Linked DNA regions of Mus musculus. The main gene of each other region encodes a partner of the protein of the gene in region 2 in a complex. Links are inferred from orthologs where the notes say so. Each region holds a gene or a part of one and is shown on either strand. Other genes may lie near its edges. The genes, in order: Taf1d and Taf1c.

Region 1 (3,704 bases), on a different chromosome or scaffold from region 2:
ATAATCAAGACAAGCCTTTAAAAAAAAAGGAATATCCATCTACTCCATTACCTTTATAAGGTAAACTATATATGATATTGCTAGAACCAAGTTCATCAATAACACCTTTGTGCTTATATTCCTTCTTGTATATATCAAAACTCATACTGAGCAATGAGTTCTGGGTTGCAAGAGGATTTATATTTTTGCACCTGTTCAACTGGCCATTGTCCAACAGCTGACAAAAACACAAGTGCTATCAAAGCTGTCCATATCTGACACAGCCAGTTTTACAATTGTGACCACAATAGGACAGTAGGAACAGTGGTAATATTCAAACCCCCCTTGGGGAAGATAAGCACTTGTTTGACTTAAGACTTGCAGACAGAACCTGGGTGTGGGTTCGAAGAGAAAGCTCAGATAATAACTTTTTTTTTATTTCTCTGAATAGTTCTGGCTGTCCTTGAACTCAGAAATCCACCTGCCTCTGACACCCAAGTGCTGGGATCAAAGGCATGCGCCACCACTGCCCATCTATGAATAGGAAAGGAAATCATATTCATAACCAACAATGGCTGGCTAATTACCATCTTGTAACTTTAGATCTCCAGGCACAGATACCTTCTGATCTTGGGTACTGCACACATATGCATGTAGGCAAAACACACAAATATGAAATAATTTGGGCTAAGCACTTAAGAGGCTGGGTTTTATCATTAGTTTATTTTTTCTAGTATAAGAGTCCAGGAGTTTAATCCAATTTTCAAATCATCTCTTCCTCCTCATAGTCATAGTGGCTGCGACAGACCACAGAGGTGGTGAACCTCCAGATACTCTAACTCTCCTTTCTTCATGACCTTGCTCTGCAGATGAGCAAAAGGGCGAGGCTGGGGTCTTGAATCTAGACATGTATAGGATTGTTAGCATTTTCCTTCCAGAATCACAATCATGTTTACTATAGTAGTAAAATAATCCTTATAGTATTTCTTACTCTGAAATCAAGCAACGAAAAAAGCTTTACTAAGTATTTATTAGCGTTCCACCAGCAAGTTTATCTTCTTCCCCAGATTAGTTCTTGATCTACTTGGCATACACTGTTATCTATGTTCTTTACCTTCTTCAATAGTCACATGTTCATTTCCTTTCAAGGTTCTTCTGTGCCCTTTCTCTCTGTGTGTGGCATCTTTGGCTTTTTTAGAAAATGTAGATTCTTTCTTAATCTTCTCTTGTTCCAAGTTTCTCTTCCTTGAGAATTCTGAACTTATTATGAAGCAACTGTCTTCCTGCATTTAATAGAAAAAAAAAAAAACAAAAAAACTAGTAACTAAACTCACTGATGGGTGAGTGCAAATATATTCCTTACTATACCAGCACTATTTTCTCATTTGACAGCACACCAGATTAGCTAAAAGTTCTTTATTATTTTATCAGAAGCTAGATCAGTGGTTAAAAATACTGGCTTTTCAGGGCTAGAAAGATGCCTCAGCAGTTAAACACCAATGGCTGTTCTTTCAGGGGTACTGCATTAAATTTCAGCAACCATATGGTAAATGTGACCTGGTGCCCTCTTCCATTAATCAGGTATACATGCTGGTAAAGCACTCACACAGTTAAGTAGAAAACAGTATAGAATAAACAGCACAAAATAAGCCACAACATTGGCTTCTTCTCTTTTTTTTTTAAAGTTTTAACAATTAACATTTACATATTAAATTGAATGTTTTTTATTTGTTTTTTTTAAAGATTTATTTATTATTATATGTAAGTACACTGTAGCTGTCTTCAGACACACCAGAAGAGGGAGTCAGATCTTGTTACGGATGGTTGTGAGCCACCATGTGGTTGCTGGGATTTGAACTCTGGACCTACGGAAGAGCAGTCGGGTGCTCTTACCCACTGAGCCATCTCACCAGCCCACTGGCTTCTTCTCTTAATTAAGACTAAGATTCAATTCCTTGCACCTACCAGTTCCAGGCACCAGGCATACACCTGGTATACTTACATGCAAACAAAACATAATACTGAGTTTAAAAAAAAAAATCTTAAGACTGGAGCCAGGCAGAGATACACATTTTGTAAGCCAATAGCAGGAGCAAAGACCATGCTGGTAGGTTAATCCACTGGTTTGAGGTCTCAAGAGGCCAGTCTAACCTCTGGCCTCAATATCCTACAAATATTCAAAGCTAGCGTTATAACTCAGCAGTATGATACCTTGGCATAAATATAAATGTGGACAAGGCTTCAGACCCCAACACTTGGGACTAAGAGGAAGAGTCACAAAAAAAAAAAAAAATCCTTGGTTATCAAATAGCCTAAATAGTAGTTCCACTCTTAAACAAAAATTCAATAGTATACAACTTGTACATTCTGTAAATGAAACAATAAAAATCAGCCACTTACAACCAACTTGATATCACATTCAGCCTGAGGATTTGTTGCTTCATCTTCAGTTCTGTAACATTAAATGGAATGTGTCACAAATCTTACCTAGTATTCTGATACCATTGAAACCTATAGTCAAAGAAAAATAATCCTCCCAAAGCTGATGTCCTGTGCACATTACCTCAGATTAAACAATCTTAAATGGACTAGAAGTTACGATTACTACTGAAGAATTTTATAGGATCTTCATTTTATAGATGGCACACCCACCCCAGCACTTGAGAGGCAGGTAAATGAGTTCAACCCTAGCCAAAGCTGTACAGTAGTGAGACTGTCTTTAAATTAGCTTAAATATGACAAACCCCATAAATTGCCCTTCAAGATCCAACTTACAATGGCTCTTCAATAGGAGAAAGTGAACCATCATCATCCATGTATTTGTGCCTCCGACTGTCAAGGTCTTCCTTTTCTAAATCTTCCCCAGCATGCATTTGCTTCAAGCATTCCTTAAGGTGGTGTTCATACTTGAGTTTTTCAATGTGGTGAAAAAATCCTCTTGCAACAGCTTGCTGCAAGTTAGAACACACAATTCCTTAAATATTAAAACATCATATACTAATTATAATCAAGTTTGAAACTGTACCAAGAGGCTAAATAAACAATGGCTTGCCGTTCATCAAAAGGACCAGATGTGAGAGCACAGAAACCACGTAAATGTTATGTGCATGATGGTTCTACTGTAATTCCAGACTTGGGTAGTAAAGACAATAAGAACAAGGTGAATAGGAAGACAACCCAAACTGGCAAGCTCTGCCATGTCTGCACGTGCATACACAAATAAATACAAAGTAGACATTAATCACTGATTACATTTTCCGACCACTTGCAACCATTCAACAGTTAATACTCAAACATTTGAGAAACCTAAGTAGTATCTGGGTACTTGGGTTTTTCTCTCTAGCCCTTGACTAGTTAACTTTTAACTGTCAATTTGGCATAGCTCTGAATTACCCTAGAAGGGATCCTCAACAGAGGATCTTTGTATGATTGCCTAGATTGTGGGTGGGTGTTACCATTCTGAGCAAGAGGTCCTAGGCTAACAATGCCCAGGACCAGCAGCTTCCTTCATGGTCCTATTCTCCAGCCCTTCCTGGGACTTCTAAAAGTGGGCCTTAAATGGTACCATACCTTCTCTCTCGCCTGTACTCAAAGGATTGACTACTGCTGAAAGCAAGCTGGGTGTGGTGTGCTTCAGAATAGTCTAGAGATAATATAAGGGACCTCAAGGGACCCAGCTGGAGTACAACTCCATAAATCTGTGTGCACACTGATAAATATGCTTG
Region 2 (4,283 bases):
TAGTATCGAGCCAATCGGTGAATTCTGCTCTCTATCAGAATCAGGCGGAATTTAGCATCCTTATCCTTTCTGTTCCTCTCAAGGTGCTTTCGGACAGCAACAGCTTTCTTAATCAAATGGTAGAGATCCTCGGGGAGGTCAGGGGCAAGGCCTTTGGACTTGAGGATTCTCAAGATTTTATTTCCAGTCACAAAACGGACCTGGGCCACCCCGTGTGAGTCCCTCAGGATTACACCTATCTGGGAGGGAGTCAGGCCTTTCTTGGGCAATTTGTAAATCTTTTCCTTCACGTCGTCAGACGTCAACTTCAGCCACGTGGGGACGCTACGGCGGTAGGGCAGCGCCGACTGGGACAGGCCCTTCCCGGGAGCGTGCATGCGACCCATGATGGTGGAGGTCTGGCAGCCCACGCCTAAGGTTTACCAATGACCAATCTGCTTTTCCCTTACGCTGCCGGGGATTTTGTGAACTCATGGCTCAGGACTGTGTGGGGCTGGAAAAGCCACTATGACGAAAACCTGGTCAGTGTCCCAGGTCCTTCCACATCTCACGGCAGGCCAGTCCATGGCTGCTCTCTCATTGGCTACTTGCCCCCAGGGTTGGTGTCCGCCGAGGTCCTGAAGCAGCTTCTTCGCGCTGACTATAGTCATCTTTTTCGAGTAGCCCTGCAGGGAAGGGCTGTCAGGTTGGTACCCTTGGGTCTCACCAGGGAGGCGGCTGACCATCCACCCGGTGGTGGCGGCTCCTTACCCGGTTCCCCTCCAATCTGAAGTTCTCCAGCATGAGTCTCCCCAGGGGTGCGAAGGCTATGTCCCCATGGTCCCACAGGAAGCGGCTGAGCTGGAGGGAACAGCTGTGTGAGTCAGCATAGCACAGGCGCTGAGAACCAGTCTCACCCAGGGACACTTACCTGCTCAGTGACATCCAGCACAGCCTGAGACTGGTACTGGTAGCAGTGACCTCCCCGGAAAAGGAAGTCCTGAGCTGTCACACCAGGGTCCCAGGGATCTAAGGGGAGAAGGAGATCAGAGAAGAACCTGAGAAGGAATGGGGACAGGATACCCCTGGAGGTCTGAGGTTCCCCTTGTGCGTGTGATGGCTGAGGTCCTTGGAGGGGGCCCAAAAGGAGAGAGACTCTTACCAGGATCAGGAGGCATCAGGAGGGGGAGGGGTCCTGGCGTCGATGGCTCCCACAGTAGGTTCTTGGCAAAGGACAAGGTCGGATCCTAGGGAAACGGGGCAGCAATAACATGACAGGTGTGCAATCCCTGCCAATTAACTAACTCAGTCCTCGGGACAAATGTGAAAAGGTGGTCACTTCGCTAATGAGGAACCCTGAAGCATGAGGCTGCCGCCCTAGGTGACAGAAGCAACAAACAGGCATGGACTTGAACCCAGGCAACCGACTCCAGAGTCTGAACTGAATTCTAAACTTCATTCACAGCAGCTTTCAAAGGAAGCGCCTAAGTCATGACTGCCTACCCACAACCCAATGAGCTCCAACTTCCTCAGCTATCTCCTCTGAGTCCTGCCATTCAGTGGGCACCCTTGTCCCAAGGACCAAGAACTCCCCTCCCCCAACACCCTCTCTTTGACATGCTCTCCTCAATGTACTCAATACAAGGCTGCTAGAGATGGACCTCCCAAGAGCAGAAATCCTGCCCCTGGCATTCCACTAATTCAGGCAAGTCAAGGCCACACTATAAAAGGTCTGCCCGTTGGTGTACAGTCTCTCACCATAACTGGAAGTCCCTTAGGTGGGGTTGCCTGACTTCCTCATGCTGGGCTCCTGGGCCTGTAAGGACCCCAACACATAAACACCTGCTGAACCCAGGGAGAGGGAGCGAGGAAAGAGGAGCCACAGCCTCTGTTGAGAGACACTGTCTGGACAGCAGGGCAACCGGTGCGCAGCTCAAGTAGCAGCTGCCTAGACCTCTTTTCCCAATAAGTGAGCAAGGAGGAGGAACAGACCAAGGAAAGGACCCTATTTCCATCCTCACCTTGCAGTTCTGTGGCTGGGACCCTGGCAGGGTCAGTGCATCTCTCCAGCTGCACATGAAGGACAGGTCAGGGCCATCAGTCATGCCAAGTGGACCGGCCTTAAACAATGAAGGGCGCAGGGTGCCAGGGAAGTCCATCCTGGAGAGAATGTATCTAACGTTACACACGCCTTCATTAGGAGTCTCAACAGTGCACCAGGGTTCTCAGAACACAGTAGGGGAGACCACTACAAGGTAGCAGATAAAGACCAGACTATGCCTAATGCCAGCGCGTCAGCAGGGCTGCCCAAGGACTGCTCACTCTCTTGAGGGCAGCCAGACAGATATCTCTGCTCACACCTTGGAAGAGGGGCTGGGGAGAAAGTGATCGCAAAAGGCCTCGTGGCAGGTAAAGTGCCAAAGAGATAAGCAACCACAGAATATACAAAGGGGAGAGTGTGGAGGACCAAGTGATGCCGATGAAGGCTGAGCGTTCATCAACGCGCTGCGCATGACAGTAGCAGGCTGACTTTCTTCCACCCCTCTGTGGACATGGGCTGCGTACTATTCCTGCTTCCCCACTGCCAAACACAGGCTTCTCCGAAAATGCCCGTGGGCTGAATAAATGCAGGAACTCTTTAGAAGCAGTAACTGTCAAGTCAGCCCTCATTTTTAGTAAAAATTAAATCTAACATCCGCAATAAGAGCACCAGCAGAGCACTAGTACCCGCTGGACAAGACGTGAAGGCGCTGAATTTAGAGTCTGAACTGAAAACCGGTGTGTAGTAACCACAAGTGTTCCCGGACCGCCCTCCCTCGTGGCCAGCATCTAGGACGAGCCTCAGCGCTGTAATCGACCAGTCTCTATAGCCACGTGGTCTGCCACGTGCTCTCAGCATTCCCGCAACAGCCTCACCTGACCCCGGGGCCGCAAAGGAGCCAGAGTGCCGAACCTCAACGCCGCCACCCACAACTGTTGGAGCAGACTAAACTGTTTTCCGGATCAGGCCGGAAGTTCGCCCGAGAAACAGGAAGTCCCGCCCCCAGATCATCTAACCGAGTCCTCCAGCGCCACCTGCAGAGCTGAGGGCCAATATGCATGGTCGTGGCGCCTAAGCTATGAAATTTCCATCCTATTTCACAAAAGTGTTGAGAAGCTTGAATTGATCCTCTCAACGAACAAGTGAGCACCTCCGATGAGCCACGCACTGTATTTATTACCCACAAGTCCTAGAATCCGCTTCATAGACACCTCTGGGTGCATGTGTGGCTTTAACAGGGGCCAGGAGGGAATATTAGCTTGTCATTCTCAAGCTAATATTCCTTGTGTGTGCACCTGCGAGTTTTGGGGGATCTGTTCAAACTCGCTCGCATGCAGCGAGTCCTGGGCTCTGCCTGTAAGTTGCCTTGGTCCTGACACTATCGCGTAAAACTTAGGACGCGTGGCTCTGCTGACCACTTGCTTTCCATCGCCTGGAGGCTAAGAATATCTTCAGATAGAATCGAGACAAGGAACAGATTCTCCTGCGTCACTGCAACCTACCTACATGACATTCCCGCCAATGTGTTTGACGACTTCTTTGGGTTTGACTTTCCTTTGTCCTGTAATTATCAGAACTTCATAAATCGGTCTTCATGGTGGAGCAAGTTATTCAGGGAGAAAAATCTGTGTTCCTGAGTTTATTAAGGGATCTCTAAAGGAACAGAACTGATTGAATGAGTATGGAATAGAGGAGATTTTATTAGACCGGCTTACAGGCTGTGATCTGCGTAGTTCAATAATAGCTGTCTTATGACAGAAATGGCAAGGAGAATTTGGTACTGTTCCGTCCACGAGGCTGGTTGTCTCAGCAGTTCTGATCTGGTGCTGTAGTCCTGGGCCATTCCTAAAGAGCCGCCGAGCTTCAGTCTCTGTTGGAATCCTAAAGAAATTGATTTGAATACTGAAAGGAAAACTTCAGCAATGCCATAAAATAAATGGTTTTGCCGGTGAGGGTGAGGTCCAGCAGGCACAAATCATGGTTTCTTTTTCCATTTCTTTTATCTGGGCTGCCACCAGAAGGTGATTTAGGATGGCTCTTCCTCCTTCAAATAATCTGATTAAGAAAATCCCTCACAGGGCTGGAGAGATGGCTCAGCGGTTAAGAGCACTGACAGCTCTTCCCAAAGTCCTGAGTTCAAATTCCAGCAACCACATGGTGGCTCACAACCATCTGTAATGGGGTTTGATGCCCTCTACTGGTGCCTCTGAAGACAGCTACAGTGTACTTGCATATAATAAATAAATAAATAATTTTTTTTAAA

What was found.
Region 1: Taf1c (region 2) and Taf1d share a complex: the UniProt entries of both Homo sapiens proteins name them as parts of the transcription factor SL1/TIF-IB complex. The link is inferred for Mus musculus from reciprocal best matches to the Homo sapiens genes TAF1C and TAF1D.

Annotation. Positions count from the first base shown.
Region 1 is NC_000075.6:15,309,085-15,312,788, reverse strand, and holds the end of Taf1d (TATA box-binding protein-associated factor RNA polymerase I subunit D), read right to left. Parts: intron 2,931-3,704; coding exon 2,755-2,930; intron 2,432-2,754; coding exon 2,380-2,431; intron 1,263-2,379; coding exon 1,094-1,262; coding exon of another isoform or gene 1,077-1,093; exon of another isoform or gene 881-1,076; coding exon 768-880; 3' UTR 685-767; downstream 1-684. UniProt on the Homo sapiens protein: Component of the transcription factor SL1/TIF-IB complex, which is involved in the assembly of the PIC (preinitiation complex) during RNA polymerase I-dependent transcription.
Region 2 is NC_000074.6:119,602,240-119,606,522, forward strand, and holds the start of Taf1c (TATA box-binding protein-associated factor RNA polymerase I subunit C), read right to left. Parts: upstream 2,968-4,283; 5' UTR 2,896-2,967; intron 2,140-2,895; 5' UTR 2,139-2,139; coding exon 2,001-2,138; intron 1,227-2,000; coding exon 1,142-1,226; intron 1,009-1,141; coding exon 911-1,008; intron 841-910; coding exon 751-840; intron 666-750; coding exon 592-665; exon of another isoform or gene 519-591; intron 408-518; exon of another isoform or gene 1-407. UniProt on the Homo sapiens protein: Component of the transcription factor SL1/TIF-IB complex, which is involved in the assembly of the PIC (pre-initiation complex) during RNA polymerase I-dependent transcription.